3 linked regions of the Saccharomyces cerevisiae S288C genome follow. The gene in region 1 interacts genetically with each later gene. Each region holds a gene or a part of one and is shown in the gene's direction. Other genes may lie near its edges.

Region 1 (8,352 bases):
AATTACAACTACTCAAAATTCGTTCCTCATCCATTTTCAACTATTGATGAAAGTGTTAAACACTCTGAAAGTGGGCGGTATGATGATTTGGAGATAATTCGTCCAACAAAAGAAAAGGAAGTAACAAGTTCTGTGTACAAAAGAAACAGTGGCAAGTCTCTGAATACAGAATCTCAGTTTTCACTGGGAGATTCAGATGCAGCCACTTTGGTGAATTCAGTCGCTACTTTCAAGCTTAACAATGCTTCTACATCCACTTCACTGGTGTCTTCATCTTCAACTGTATGTTCTCAAGCGAAGTCCTCGTTACGTTCCCCAACAAGTCGTCTCAATGATACAAAAATCAAAGAGGAAAACAATTATATTTCCAGCGTGAAAGACTATTGCGGTCCAATGAGAAAATCCATGGTAAAGACGGAAATCCTCATTGAAGAACCTTTGAATCCTACTACCGATATCAAGTCTTTTATAAACTCATACAACCATGGCAAAGCGTATAGTCTAGGTGAAACTCAACATTTACATTATTATCAGTTGCCATTCCCATGGAGGGAAAACAGATACATAATCCATGGCTATAGGTTTTACAATACCCATTCCAAATCTTTGTTGTCTATCTTTAACTGGTACGGCTGGCATAATGAAACTTCAAATATTTGGTCTCATTTGTTAGGAGCCATTTATATAATCTACTTGGCAATTTACGATTTCCCTCAGTCTGAAGTTTGGCGGAATTCCCAGGTTCCACCACAGGCTAGATGGATTGTTTTCATGTTTTTGGCAGCTGCGTTGAAATGTATGCTAAGCTCCGTGTTTTGGCATACTTTCAACGGAACGTCCTTCTTGAAGCTACGTTCTAAATTTGCGTGTGTCGACTATAGCGGTATTACGATCTTAATTACAGCTTCGATATTGACAACGGAGTTTGTTACCATGTATTCATGTTACTGGGCGATGTACACTTACATGAGTATTTCTCTGGCGCTGGGTGTATTTGGTGTGTTTATGAATTGGTCGCCTCGCTTTGATAGACCTGAAGCAAGGCCATTAAGAATTAGATTCTTCATTTTGCTGGCTACTATGGGTGTATTGTCGTTTTTACATTTGATATTTTTGACTGATCTTCATTATGCTGCAACGCTATTTAGCCCCGTCACATACAAATCTGTTGTTTGGTATTTGGTTGGTGTGGTATTTTACGGTTCGTTCATTCCTGAACGGTTCAGATCTGACGTTCAGGTTGATAAGACCATTCCAACAAACTACGAATTATCTACTGATTTAGAAATCATCACAAAGCAAAGGGAAATTCATTTTAGAGAGGTGCCAACAGCCCATTCCAAATGCAGTTCCTGTCCGTCTCATGCCAAATCATTTAAATCTCTATGGTGGGTTGACTATTTTGGTTGTTCGCACACTTTTTGGCATTTCTTCGTAGTGTTGGGTGTCATCGGCCATTATAGAGCTATTTTAGATATGTTTGCCAAGAGGTGGATTTTGTCATGATGGTATGACTGACTACCTTTACTTACAACATCCTGCACTTTTTCTGTATACGATAAACGGACTTAAAAGAAAGAAAAGCCTACAATTACATTGTTGGAGAAGCCACATAGCAATTTCGAAAAAAACCAGAAATTGTAAACCACGAATTCTCCTGTATTATTTCATTGTTAAAATTTTTTTTTTACTTATATTATACCCATCTTTTTCGATATTCCTGCTGGCATTGTTTTGGCTACATTTTCAAGAAACTTTGGATCCAAAGACAAAAGGAACAAACGAAATCTAAAAGCAAAAAAAAAGTTGACTGATTATAAAAACTACATTACGACGAAAAGAAAATAATAAAACTGTGTACTTTTAGTTTTGCATTTATGTATTGACTGTTATTTAACTTATTATGACCTCATGAAAGAACAAAACTTAGCGTGTATTGTTCTGCTCAGTGCCTTGTATATATAATAATGTTCATGAAAAAATTTTTCTAGGCCGAACTTAAGTGATTTCATGCAGTAGTAAAAGTTTTTAAAATTTTTACTAAAATAGTTCTGAGAAAGAAAAGGTAAAACACGCAATGCCTATCAATCAACCGTCGGGACAGATTAAGTTAACTAATGTTTCATTAGTGAGATTAAAAAAGGCTCGCAAGAGATTTGAAGTCGCGTGCTACCAAAATAAGGTCCAAGACTATCGAAAAGGAATTGAAAAAGATCTGGATGAAGTGCTGCAGATACATCAAGTTTTCATGAATGTTTCGAAAGGCTTGGTTGCTAATAAGGAAGATCTACAAAAGTGTTTCGGGACTACAAATGTTGATGATGTCATCGAGGAGATCATGCATAAGGGAGAGATTCAATTATCGGAAAAAGAAAGACAATTAATGCTTAATAAAGTTAATAACGAAATGCTTACAATAGTTAGCGCTAAATGTATAAATCCTGTGTCAAAGAAAAGATATCCGCCCACAATGATCCACAAAGCTTTACAGGAACTGAAGTTCAGCCCTGTTATTAACAAACCTGCCAAATTGCAAGCTTTAGAGGCTATCAAATTATTGGTTTCTAAGCAAATTATTCCAATAGTAAGGGCGAAGATGAAAGTCAAAGTGGCCATAAGTGAGCCATCTAGACAACCCGAACTTATTGAGAAGATTAGTAAATTGATAGCTTCATCGCCTGGAGAGTCAACGAAGCCGGAATTGGATCCTTGGACATGTACAGGTCTTATCGATCCTGTCAATTATAGAGATTTGATGACCCTATGTGATAAAAAGGGAACTGTGCAAGTCTTGGATATGGCAGTCATAGATAATACAACGCATAACTAATTTATATAGAATCACTTTGCATACATATCTTTGATACACTTTAACACAAAAACTAATTTGCCAAAATCATTATCGTCAGCGCTTTGTTCCTTCGTTGCTCTCCATATCTTACTGCTCATGGATATCAGCAAGCTGAATTGCATGTTGTCTTGGGCCATCGTACCGCTCACTTCTGGTAGAATAACTCTCCTATATAGTTCGGCAATCTGTACGCATACCACGGGTACTTTAGGATCGGCACTATCTCCCAACTTGGTAACCACTTGATAATCAGATAAATGGTCTCTTACAAATTCTTCTTCCTCATCGTCATAATCGCCACCCGTGTTTCCTAGGTTTCCTGCCAGTGGTACGTTGATATCGAGAATTGGGTTTAGTCCTTTTGAAGATACCTCATAGGTGGAATCCATTTCCCCATTTAGTCTGATTTGCAATAGAATTGTGTTATTAAAGTGCGTGGCTTGTACATACAATTCTTTGTTTTCGGATGAAGCGTTCAATGAGCTATCTTTTCCTTTCGGTAGATGAGTTTGGAATTCATATGATATCATATTTGCAACAGTATTTTGTACAAAAATAGCCCATTCTTTTTGTCATTGTTAATATTTTGATTCACCATTGGCGTTGTTATCCCAATAATTCGCGCATTAAGTTCTTCATTTTTTTTCACACAAATAGTACGCAAATGTTTCTCATCAAAGGTATAATTAAAATTGTTGGGAAATACTCAACTATCATTGGGATCCCCGTGGCACCTTTACGATAAGCATGGTAAATAAGGTGGTTGATGAGGTTCAGCGGTTGGTGAGCGCAATAATTCTCACTTCGTTTATGACGGGGTTATTCATTTTGTCACTATGGAAGAATTACGTGACAGTTCATTTCCAACATAAAAATGATCCAAGAGATACAAGAAGTTCGAGAACCAAGATCCAGCCAAATGACAAGAAGAAGAAACGACCAGCACGTCACTCTAGACCTTTGTCAATATCTTCCACAACGCCCTTAGATTTACAGCGGGATCAGGAAAATAATATTGAATATGACCGTACTGTGACTAGCAAGCTGTCCATGACTAGTAATGCCTCTTTATCAGAGAACGGTGATGGAAATGCTAATATTAAAATGGAAACGAATGTGAACCAAGCCCCATATGCTGCAGAGAATCCCTTCCAAAACATTGCGCTTGCGGAGGATACCAAGCTGGTACCTGACTTAAAGTACTATTATAAAGAGTATGGTATTGATATTGAAGAATTTGAGGTGGAGACAGACGACGGTTTTATCATTGATTTGTGGCACTTCAAGTCCAGGTTAAACGATGGCGTAGAGGAAGTGAAACGTGAACCCATTTTGCTATTACACGGTCTTTTGCAAAGTTGCGGGGCCTTCGCATCTTCAGGTAGAAAATCTCTGGCATACTTCCTTTATGAATCTGGATTTGATGTTTGGTTGGGGAATAACAGATGTGGCTTAAATGCCAAGTGGAACATGAAAAAATTAGGTAATGATCATTCCAAAAAATGGGATTGGGATATGCACCAGATGGTTCAATACGATTTAAAAGCACTTATAAATTATGTACTTGATAGTACCGGATATGCTAAACTATCGCTCGTGGCGCATTCACAAGGTACAACACAAGGGTTTATGGGGCTTGTCAACGGTGAGAAACTATACGCAAGTGATTTTAAATTAGTCGATAAGCTGGAAAACTTTGTTGCTTTGGCACCTGCAGTGTACCCTGGACCTTTATTGGATGAAAAAGCATTTGTGAGGCTAATGGCAAAAGGTATTGATTCTCCGTGGTACTTTGGTAGAAGATCGTTTATACCTCTTATGATGACAATGAGAAAACTAATGGTTGGGACCAAGATTTTTTCGTTCCTCTCATACATCATGTTTAACTACCTATTTGATTGGAACGATGTCTTATGGGATAGAGTTTTAAGGGACCGAAATTTCTTATTTTCACCAGTCCATATTTCCGTCAAACTAATGCAATGGTGGTTGTCACCTCTTCCTAATAAGCTAAGTTTTAAGAAGGGTGCAGAGAAAATTTTTCCAGATAAAAAGACATGGTTTCCTATTGCCAAGAATGATGATGACAGTGGCAATAATTTGGATAACAACAAACTACACTTAAATCCGAAAAGACAAAATAGTGAAGAATTTCCACACATTATAATGTTTATTCCAAAGCAAGATAGATTAGTAGATGGTGAACGATTAATTAATCACTTCATTAATCATGAAGCAAATGCAGTGTACAAAATCTGGTATATTGATGAGTATTCCCATCTGGACGTTTTATGGGCGCATGATGTTATAGATAGAATTGGTAAGCCAATGATAGAAAATTTGAGGTTTCCTAATGCAAGGTGAGGTAAAAGTTTTTTCTTTGTGGTTTCTTTGTAAAATATAATATGCCATAAAAAGAGGAAAGAAAAGCATAATAAATAGATATATGTATAGAGTATATATTTATATATATGCTAGTATATACGGATATATGTATCTGTAGATGTTACACGTAAAGTACAATTGATACATGTAATAAGCAAATTAATTCATTAAGTTTATAAATATCCGGTGAAGTCTTCTGTATAAAAAGAGAAACATGAGTTCGTCCAAACATATAACCGAAGGGGGGGGTAATAAAAAGAGCCTGCTTTTTATGTTACTGAGAAATCTATATCGTCACATCCAACACGCTCCCCACATCCAACACGTTTCCTGATGAAAGGTCCTCCAAAAGTGGGATAATATCTAGTAACTCATTATCATGAGTATCAGAGAACCAAGAAGATATCGGAACAGCATGTTGCGGATGAAAGATGTAAGAGGCCGGCGAATTATCTAAGATGATTGTTTCGGACAATGGTCTTCCGATCTGCGATAAGTTCTTGATGTAGTTACCTTCGTAGTTATAACAAGCTTCTCTGAATAATCGATGATGGATGGTTCCATTAGGGTCCAACGTATCTAAAAGGGGGTTTGCATACCTCGAAACACTTGCCGTGAACACAACAACTTCGTATAGTTGACTCACCCTGTTCAAGAACTCATCGACGCCTGGCCTCTTAATAACATAGACATTGTGAACTTGATCATCGATTTCGACGGGCAAAACGAAATCAGCTGAATGCATATATTTAAAGGAAGAATGTACCAAAGTTTCGTCTAGATCCAATATCAGACATTTTTTCTGTTGAAATTCTTGCAACTTGGGTGGTAGCAGAGTGTCGTATCCGGGGGCATGGTACTGGTCTGGTTGCAAATGCGTCAGGTCAGAGAAGTCCTCCTCCGTTGTAGGTATCAAGTTTAAATCATTATCAGGACTGCTGGCGACATATTGTGGATTCATATCTTCTTGACCCACCTGATACAGACCCTGTTGTGGTGGCGCCTCGTCATTAATACTGGAATTTCTATCTGCGTCAACGTTATATTCATGAACGACATGGTCTTGCTTTTCTTTTGCTTCGTCATCTTCTTCTTCTTCTTCTCCGGCATTGTTAACCTCCGTCATTTCTACGTCTCCTTCATTATAATCTTCATATTCTTTCTCCTCATCGTACGAGTTGTTGGAGTGATCTCTTGATAAAGGTGCTAGTTTTCCATTGCCGCTATTCCCATTCTCCTGCATTGTCTTGGAACCCGCATTGCTGCCTGAATCGGAACTAGACAAAAGGATCTCCGGTGTGGAATATTGCATCTTGTCGCCGTTTGGAGTAGCCTTCTGCTTACGACCCTGAGTTTGAGCTTTGTTTGAACTGTGCTTACGGTTGCGGTTGCGGTTGTGATTAGTTTCTGGTGGTTGGCGTTGACGATGTGTTTTGGAAGTATCTGAAGAACAGCACAGTATATTTGCTATAAATCCCATCTGATGATGATCTGAAAAAGCTCCCTAAAACAGACAGAGAAGCACTCTTCACTCAGTTTTTATTGCCAAATAAGTGGAAAATTAAAACGAAAGAACTCAAAAGCAGCACTGCGCTCGAAGAAAGATATATCTTAGCTTAAATCCTCTCCAAAAGGGGAGAACGAAGAATATGTGTAAATTAAGCGATGCTTCGTGGGTTTCTTTTACGCGCTGCGAAAAAGATAATCAAATCTCTAAATTTTAGAAATATAAGCCAGTCGGTAGCCCCCACAAGTCAATTATATATGTCAAAGTTCGTGGCACTGTGGACTGCTTTCATAAAGCTTCTCTTTATCTGTTCCTTAGACTGTGAATACTGAGGTTTTCTAAAAAAAAGCAAAAAAAAAAAAAGAGGGTCCAAACCTATTAACTTCAGGGTTTAAGTATCTTTTTTGTAGGTTATAATGTTCTTTTTATAAACCTTTCTCAGGTTATAATAATATTTCTCAGGTCTAATTAGGGCTAAAGTCTAAAGAAAAATGAAAAAAAAAAAAAATGAAATTTGTGCTAATAGTAATAATGATAGAAATAATAACAATTAATAAGATGGTTATGATGAACAAAAAGATTTATATTATAAGAACTTGACAATATACAGACTTTTAATATATCCGCAGAGGCAAAAAAATAATAGAGGGAACTATGAAGATTCAGGCGGGCCAATTGGGCCTGGACGATAATGACGTGCCGGGACCATTGCCGGACACAGACAGCAAACCCTCATCACAATCACAAAATGACACACCAATGTTTAAATTGGGCAACTTTGAAAGTCCTGTGCTCAAGGAGCTATCACGGCGAACGGTAAACAAGGAAATGGAGACGCAGAGAATTATGACAAACGTAATTGCGTTTGCGTTCTGGAACCTGCTGGTGAAGTTCATCAAGTTCTTTTGGAACAACACTCATGTTGGGAGACAGTTTTGCAACCGGCTATCCAGAATCCATCTGTACATGTTGACATTTCACACGTTAAAGAAGGCTAACATCATATATCACACCACGTTCAGTTGGTTGAATGCAGAACTTCTTGACTACTTGTTCCACCTATTAATCTCGCTCAATATACTGTTTTCTCTTTGGAAGCTCTTATCCACCGTCAAAGTAAGTGATTTGAATCTCACTGACAGGCAAAAGAAGCTCCTGGGGGTAGACATGCAATCATCTGTCGATACTGGGTTGCAGCCACAACACCCCCACTACGTATCCACTTCTAAGATCAGCCAAATGGCACAGAACAAAACACATATTCCTCAAACAAATCTCAAAAATCATCCAGCATATCTCTTCAAAGGCTTAGAGACGCCTTTGAAAGCAAGACAAAGGGAAATGGCGGAGGAACAGACGAAACTACAATCTCAATCCTTACACACAAAGAATGTATTTGGCACACTGCAGAGGCATAGCGGTATCAGTAGCACATTAGTGAGCGCTAACAATGACAATAACTCGCCGCATACCCCTGTAACTAGGAAGGGCTACATTCCAAGTAGCAAATATGCATATATGATGAACTCACAGTCCCCAAGGGGGAAAATATAAAAACAGCAAAAAAACATTTAATACTTTCCATAGCTATATATGTTTTCTCTCCTAT
Region 2 (2,869 bases), on another chromosome or scaffold:
ACCAACATTTAAATGTCAATTTCTTCAGTTTCTAGCCCGCAGTCTGTACATCTTCTTCTTTGAATTTGATAACCGTCTTCATCAATACCTCCATCAACTGGATCACTAAAATGATGAATATGGGCTTTCCCATGCTTCTTTTCTCTTAATCTATTAGTATATTCTTGAGCTCTTGTTTTCAGTCGCATTTCCTTGATTTTCTTTTCGTATTTTTTCTCCCTTCTGTGAGCCTTTCCTTCTTCACGACGTTGCCATTCCTCATCTAAACCTTCTTCTCCACCCCATTTCTTGAACGCAAAGGCTTCCACTTCACATCTAACAAATAGTTGCATTCTTGCAAATGTCCCCGAATGAGGGTTCGGCTTTTCTAGTCTATGAAAGAGATCCTCATCATTCAATTCGGGGTCTGTTAAAAAGTAATCTTCCTTACATTCTGTTTTCGTCAGTAGTGCATACTTTTCTGGATGCTCCTTAGAACACTGTTTACAAACTTGTAACTTGAACACATCATGTAGCACAGGATCCATCTCAATATTAATATGACATTCAATACATTTCGGCGCCTTTGAAATATGCTCTGGAGGAGGTGCATTTTCGTACAGCATTTTCCGTTCAAGTTGTTCCTTTTTCCAGTCCTGTAGTGTCTTCTGCTTTTTAGATCCAAACTCAGATTCAAATTCTTGGTCATCGGTAAAGTCAGAATTTGGAAGCTTGTCCTTAGGGTTGATATAACCACCATTCAAGTTCTGCATGGTGGCAAAATCGTACTCAATGTAATCTTGTTTCCTTATGCTAGGTCTGATTCTATCCGTTGGCCTTTTGTCGAGTACCGACGCATCCCTTTTACTTCCATCAACTACTCCGCTACCATAAAGTGAAGTAGTGTTAGTGTTAGTGTTAGCAAGCGCAGACGGTTGTCCATTATGATTTGGCACATGTACTGCGGCTGCTGCATTATCATCCCGATTGCTGCCACTAGTAACTGCGAGAGGCCGGGTTTTTAAAGGTTCATTCCTACTTTCTATTCGATTCAATTGGTCGCTACTCAGTATTCCCCTTTTTCTTAACCGTTCTATTGCTAATTTCCTGTTAGCCTCCTGCACAGCTCATCTCATCGTTAAATTGTTAGTAAAAAGAAACCCACGGTTAAAATACAAACACAGAATCATTTTCACACATACTAGTTTGGCCTTTTGTTCGGGAGTCATAGCGTTACGTTCGATACCTTCACTACGAAGATCCAAACTCTTTTTCTAGTTCCGATAAATTCCTTACCTTCTTTTCACTTTCCTCTTTTCTCCCTACAACTTAGCAAACGTCAAACATGCTGTAGATAGAGCTTCTATAGAAGTACAGTTATTCAAACAAAAAAAAAAAAAAAAACAAGGGTTGTGGAGTATGCCACTAGCAGTCTGCTATGTTGATTCTGCTTATTATCAACGAAGTATCCCATTATGATCTTATGCAATGCACATTCCTGCCCTTACGCTCCAGGGCAGAATCGAACCACGGCCCTCGTATAAGCCGCAAGGAAAACTACCGGTGCTATCGTTCTCGTTTGGATGATTTTCAGTATGGAAGAATTTGGATAGATCTGCAGCGCCATGGTATATAAGAGAAAGAAGCGGTAACGTTTGACACTGGGTTCAGATCTCTCTTGTCGCTCAATCAAACTAAGACTAGCCCAGACCATTATAGCCATGAAGTTTTTCCCACTCCTTTTGTTGATTGGTGTTGTAGGCTACATTATGAACGTATTGTTCACTACCTGGTTGCCAACCAATTACATGTTCGATCCAAAAACTTTGAACGAAATATGTAACTCGGTGATTAGCAAACACAACGCAGCAGAAGGTTTATCCACTGAAGACCTGTTACAGGATGTCAGAGACGCACTTGCCTCTCATTACGGGGACGAATACATCAACAGGTACGTCAAAGAAGAATGGGTCTTCAACAATGCTGGTGGTGCGATGGGCCAAATGATCATCCTACACGCTTCCGTATCCGAGTACTTAATTCTATTCGGAACCGCTGTTGGTACTGAAGGGCACACAGGTGTTCACTTTGCTGACGACTATTTTACCATCTTACATGGTACGCAAATCGCAGCATTGCCATATGCCACTGAAGCCGAAGTTTACACTCCTGGTATGACTCATCACTTGAAGAAGGGATACGCCAAGCAATACAGCATGCCAGGTGGTTCCTTTGCCCTTGAATTGGCTCAAGGCTGGATTCCATGTATGTTGCCATTCGGGTTTTTGGACACTTTCTCCAGTACTCTTGATTTATACACTCTATATAGAACTGTCTACCTGACTGCCAGGGACATGGGTAAGAACTTGTTGCAAAACAAAAAGTTCTAAGCTGCCCGACCTCACGAAATCAGTCATGCGGTAGTCCATTATAATATAACTATTATTATTATTACTATTACTATTATTATTATTATTATTATTATCTATTGTTTATATTCTCTTTAGCTTTTTATCACCTACGACGACGGATATATTCGGCGTTTGCAAAAAGTGAAAAAGGCGTCTTTTGGTGGACATGAACTCAATCTTCAATTCTTTGAAAGCGGTGTATGCGTATAAGGCCTTTTAACCATCGTGCAAAACAATAAAAGACTACCAATAACCGACGTGAATCATGTCTGCACCAACTCCATTAGCAGAGGCCTCTCAAATTCCCACTATCCCGGCCCTTTCTCCTTTGACTGCGAAGCAATCCAAGGGGAATTTCTTCTCCTCAAACCCAATATCTAGCTTTGTTGTGGATACGTACAAACAATTGCATTCTCACAGACAATCTTTGGAGCTGGTCAATCCCGGTACCGTGGAAAACCTGAATAAGGAAGTCTCCC
Region 3 (4,134 bases), on another chromosome or scaffold:
AAAGGTCTATCAGAAGACTTGTTAACTCTTTGAAAAAAGATGATGATGACGTTATAGCGCCACTGCCTAATGCAGATGGTGATATTCCTGCTATTTCAGACGGAGTGTTCCCTAAGTCGTTGAAAGAATTTAAAGACATCCCAGACTTAAAACTGGTAAGACTTGCTAAATTCTACGAAAGATTGCCACCAACTCTAAAGGAACAAGAAGATTTTGAAAACTTCCTGGAAGGTAAGGTGGAAGCCTTTCACATTAATGAGACCACTGATGAAGAGATTTCTAAGGAGTTGGAAAAGTTCTCCAAAGATGAGCTAGATGATGCATTTAATGATGTTGCCCGCTATCTAGGTCTCTCCCTTAGAAGAGGAACCGAAATATGGTAAACAGAAAATGAAAAAAAATGAAAAATCAATGAATAAGAGGGCTTGAGTTCCAGGTTCTAGAAATTTCCCTCACTTATATATATATATATATCTATATACATATAGTTTTGAGTATATCATAACAGGATTCTCTTTCAATGAAACCTATGTTTTCCGCGGCATTGCAGTTAAAGGATGTTCTAGTGGTGAAAAAGAGAAGAAAAGAATTCAAAGTTTTCCTCCCATAAGTATACCTATACTTTTTATCTGTGATTGAAAGCTGTATACCAACAGCCTTCTATATATTACCTTGTATACCATTCAGTAGTCTTAAGCATCATCTAACTTTTGACCAGGTCCATTCTGATTGGCTGCGGTAGCCCGCTCCGTTTTCCGCTCTAAGCGTTTGGTACTTGTATAAATGTGCACTGGCATTATGATATCGAGATCCCCGCATAGAAATCTCAGGACCAACCAAAAATTGCCAATCACAAGCTCTAAGAATAATAAACGATGTCTGCAATGATGGTCAAGTTAGGACTGAATAAGTCGGCTCTATTACTGAAACCCTCCGCCTTTTCAAGAGCAGCTGCCTTGAGCTCCTCGAGGAGGCTGCTTTTTAATACAGCTAGAACAAACTTCCTTTCTACCTCACCATTGAAGAATGTGGCCAGTGAAATGAACACCAAAGCGGCAATTGCTGAAGAACAAATATTAAACAAGCAAAGAGCAAAGAGACCTATTTCTCCACATCTGACCATTTACCAGCCACAATTAACTTGGTACCTGTCTTCTCTTCACCGTATTTCGTTGGTGCTTATGGGACTAGGTTTCTACTTGTTTACTATACTCTTCGGAGTCTCTGGTTTATTAGGTCTTGGATTGACTACCGAAAAGGTTTCTAATTGGTACCATCAGAAGTTTTCCAAGATTACCGAATGGTCCATCAAGGGTTCCTTTGCTTACTTATTTGCAATTCACTATGGTGGCGCCATTAGACACTTGATCTGGGATACCGCTAAGGAATTGACATTGAAAGGCGTTTACAGAACTGGTTACGCTCTCATTGGTTTCACCGCCGTTCTCGGTACTTATTTATTAACTTTATGATTCTTTAAGGCGACGCACCTGTTTCTACACACAAATATATATATAGCCAATTTTATATATACGTTCCTATATATGACCCAATACCGCACTTATTTATTCTTTAAGATCTTTATAACCCAAAATGCCGATTAACACAAACCTATATTTACTAGGGGCACATTTTTTATTTTTTTGCCTTTCTGTAAAATACAATAGAGAAAATAAAGGAACAAACAAGAGGAAAAACAGGAAAAGATAGCGCAAGAGTAATCATATTCAACAAAATATCAGTGATTTTTTACAGATATCAAGATAATTTCTTTCCGGATACTTATTGAAGCTATTATTTGTTACTGGCAAGAAAAAGCAAACATAGGCGGTCATTTTTCTTTTGTATAAAGTAAATACAAGAAGAATTATTTTCGAGGAATAACTAGGTGTGCAGAGATATTAAGGAACAAGGAAAGAAGAAAGAAAACAATTCGAACAAAACTTTATTATTCTAGCACTATTTTAAAAAACTGTCTTTTGGCAAAATGTACTTCCCCTTTTTAGGCAGATTATCGATAACAGATTACATTATAGTCGTCTTGGTATACATAGAAAGCATTATTTCATCAGTCCTTAAACTTATACCACAACCAATGATTAACCTTTTCGAATGGCTAATAAATTTCTCAACGTCCTCCGATGACAATACCATCGAAGAAAAGTTAAGGTCAGCTCCAACTATCCATGAAATGTGTGCAATTTTTGATATATCTGTCGAGGATCATTTGGTAAGAACTGAAGACAATTATATCTTGACACTGCATAGAATCCCACCGATTTCTAAAAACAGATTTAACAATAAAGTGGTATACTTACATCACGGTCTTTTGATGTGTTCTGATGTTTGGTGTTGCAATATTGAAAGACATAAAAACTTACCGTTTGTATTGCATGATTTAGGTTACGACGTCTGGATGGGAAATAATAGAGGTAATAAATATTCAACTGCCCACTTGAACAAACCACCAAAATCGAACAAGTTTTGGGATTTTTCTATCGACGAATTTGCGTTCTTTGACATTCCAAACTCAATTGAATTCATCTTAGATATAACAAAAGTGGACAAGGTCATCTGCATCGGATTCTCTCAAGGCTCTGCTCAAATGTTTGCTGCATTTTCGTTGAGTGAAAAATTGAATCGAAAAGTCTCCCATTTTATAGCCATAGCACCCGCTATGACTCCAAAGGGGTTGCACAACAGAATTGTCGATACCTTGGCCAAATCATCGCCCGGCTTTATGTATCTTTTCTTTGGTAGGAAAATTGTGTTACCTTCAGCTGTCATTTGGCAAAGAACTTTACATCCAACACTTTTCAATTTGTGTATCGATATCGCAAACAAGATACTGTTCAATTGGAAGTCGTTTAACATTCTACCGAGACAAAAGATTGCTTCTTACGCAAAACTTTATTCAACGACCAGTGTAAAATCCATTGTTCACTGGTTCCAAATATTAAGATCTCAGAAATTTCAAATGTTTGAAGAGTCTGATAACATGCTAAATTCCTTAACTAGGCCTTACCAAATTGCTAATTTTCCTACTAGAACAAATATCAAGATTCCCATTCTTTTAATTTATGGTGGCATAGATTCTTTAGTTGATATTGATGTGATGAAAAAAAATCTACCCTTCAACTCCGTCTTTGATGTTAAAGTTGACAATTATGAACACCTGGATTTGATTTGGGGCAAAGATGCCGATACCTTGGTCATTGCTAAAGTCTTGAGGTTTATTGAATTTTTTAACCCTGGTAATGTTTCAGTGAAGACTAACCAGTTACTACCATCAGCAAGTCTGGTTGAGGAATTACCAAGCACGACATGGAAGACAACTCATCCAACGCATGGTCTCAGTTATAGAACTCACTCGGCAGACCGTTCTCCGTTGTCTGTACAAGCTGATGAAGCGGATGAGGTCCACAATGCTGACAATTCAAGGTTCTTAAGACGAGTGTTTTCTACTAGTGCCATAGACGAGGACAACGAAAATGAGCACCAGGATGATACAGAAGATCAAATCCATAAGGAGCAGCAAAGACGGTTAAGTGCCTATCTGGAATCATCCAAAGATTTACGACAACTAGATGCCAACTCTTCGACAACTGCGCTGGATGCTCTAAATAAAGAATGAAAAGAATGCGAGAGAAACCCTATTAAACTATTTTTTGTCTAGGATAATAATATTAGCGCTAATCTAAAAATCGATGAACTAAAGAAAGAATATACGTACGTTTTATACACAATAAATGGATTTCATAAGAAGTCCTTAATATCCTCATGCTTGTGGATACTGGAAATTAGTAAAGTAATTAACTTCCTTTTAGCATTATTCTTATTTGGCTTAAAAAGGTCACGTGAAGCTCTATTTTTTTCGTTTTTTTTTTTCACTGATGGAAGAGAAAAACCTCTACATAATAAGGTAACTTTACATATTGATTGCCAATGAGATGTTAAAAAATGGACGGTTCAGACAGTAAAATACATTTAGAAAAAAAGAGAAGGTCTTATCAGTGTATTTATTCACTGTGCATATTAGCTTTTTTTGGACTTTTTTTGTTCCATTAGTACTTTTAAAAAACCTATTTGTAAATAAAACTAATTCTAGCACTATTCTTTGCACTAGAATAACAC

Evidence for each region.
Region 2: mutations in YEH2 (region 1) and ERG2 together harm fitness more than expected from each alone (negative genetic interaction), as found in Saccharomyces cerevisiae (2 studies listed by BioGRID).
Region 3: of YEH2 (region 1) and TGL1, changing one enhances a phenotype caused by changing the other (phenotypic enhancement), as found in Saccharomyces cerevisiae (3 studies listed by BioGRID).

Annotation. Positions count from the first base shown.
Region 1 is NC_001144.5:178,652-187,003, reverse strand, and holds YEH2 (sterol esterase), read left to right. Parts: upstream 1-3,598; coding exon 3,599-5,215; downstream 5,216-8,352. Other genes in the region: IZH3 (Izh3p), read left to right, coding at 1-1,506; guanine nucleotide exchange factor SDO1, read left to right, coding at 2,078-2,830; IRC25 (Irc25p), read right to left, coding at 2,842-3,381; PSR2 (putative phosphatase), read right to left, coding at 5,523-6,716; POM34 (Pom34p), read left to right, coding at 7,398-8,297. UniProt on the Saccharomyces cerevisiae protein: Mediates the hydrolysis of steryl esters. Required for mobilization of steryl ester, thereby playing a central role in lipid metabolism.
Region 2 is NC_001145.3:665,837-668,705, forward strand, and holds ERG2 (C-8 sterol isomerase ERG2), read left to right. Parts: upstream 1-1,700; coding exon 1,701-2,369; downstream 2,370-2,869. Other genes in the region: DNA repair protein RAD14, read right to left, coding at 9-1,097, 1,182-1,208; TOM complex pore protein TOM40, read left to right, coding at 2,656-2,869. UniProt on the Saccharomyces cerevisiae protein: C-8 sterol isomerase; part of the third module of ergosterol biosynthesis pathway that includes the late steps of the pathway. ERG2 catalyzes the reaction which results in unsaturation at C-7 in the B ring of sterols and thus converts fecosterol to episterol.
Region 3 is NC_001143.9:178,792-182,925, forward strand, and holds TGL1 (sterol esterase), read left to right. Parts: upstream 1-1,987; coding exon 1,988-3,634; downstream 3,635-4,134. Other genes in the region: MRP8 (Mrp8p), read left to right, coding at 1-383; succinate dehydrogenase cytochrome b subunit SDH3, read left to right, coding at 876-1,472. UniProt on the Saccharomyces cerevisiae protein: Mediates the hydrolysis of steryl esters (SE). Preferentially hydrolyzes ergosteryl and zymosteryl esters. Required for mobilization of SEs from lipid particles/droplets, thereby playing a central role in lipid metabolism and sterol homeostasis.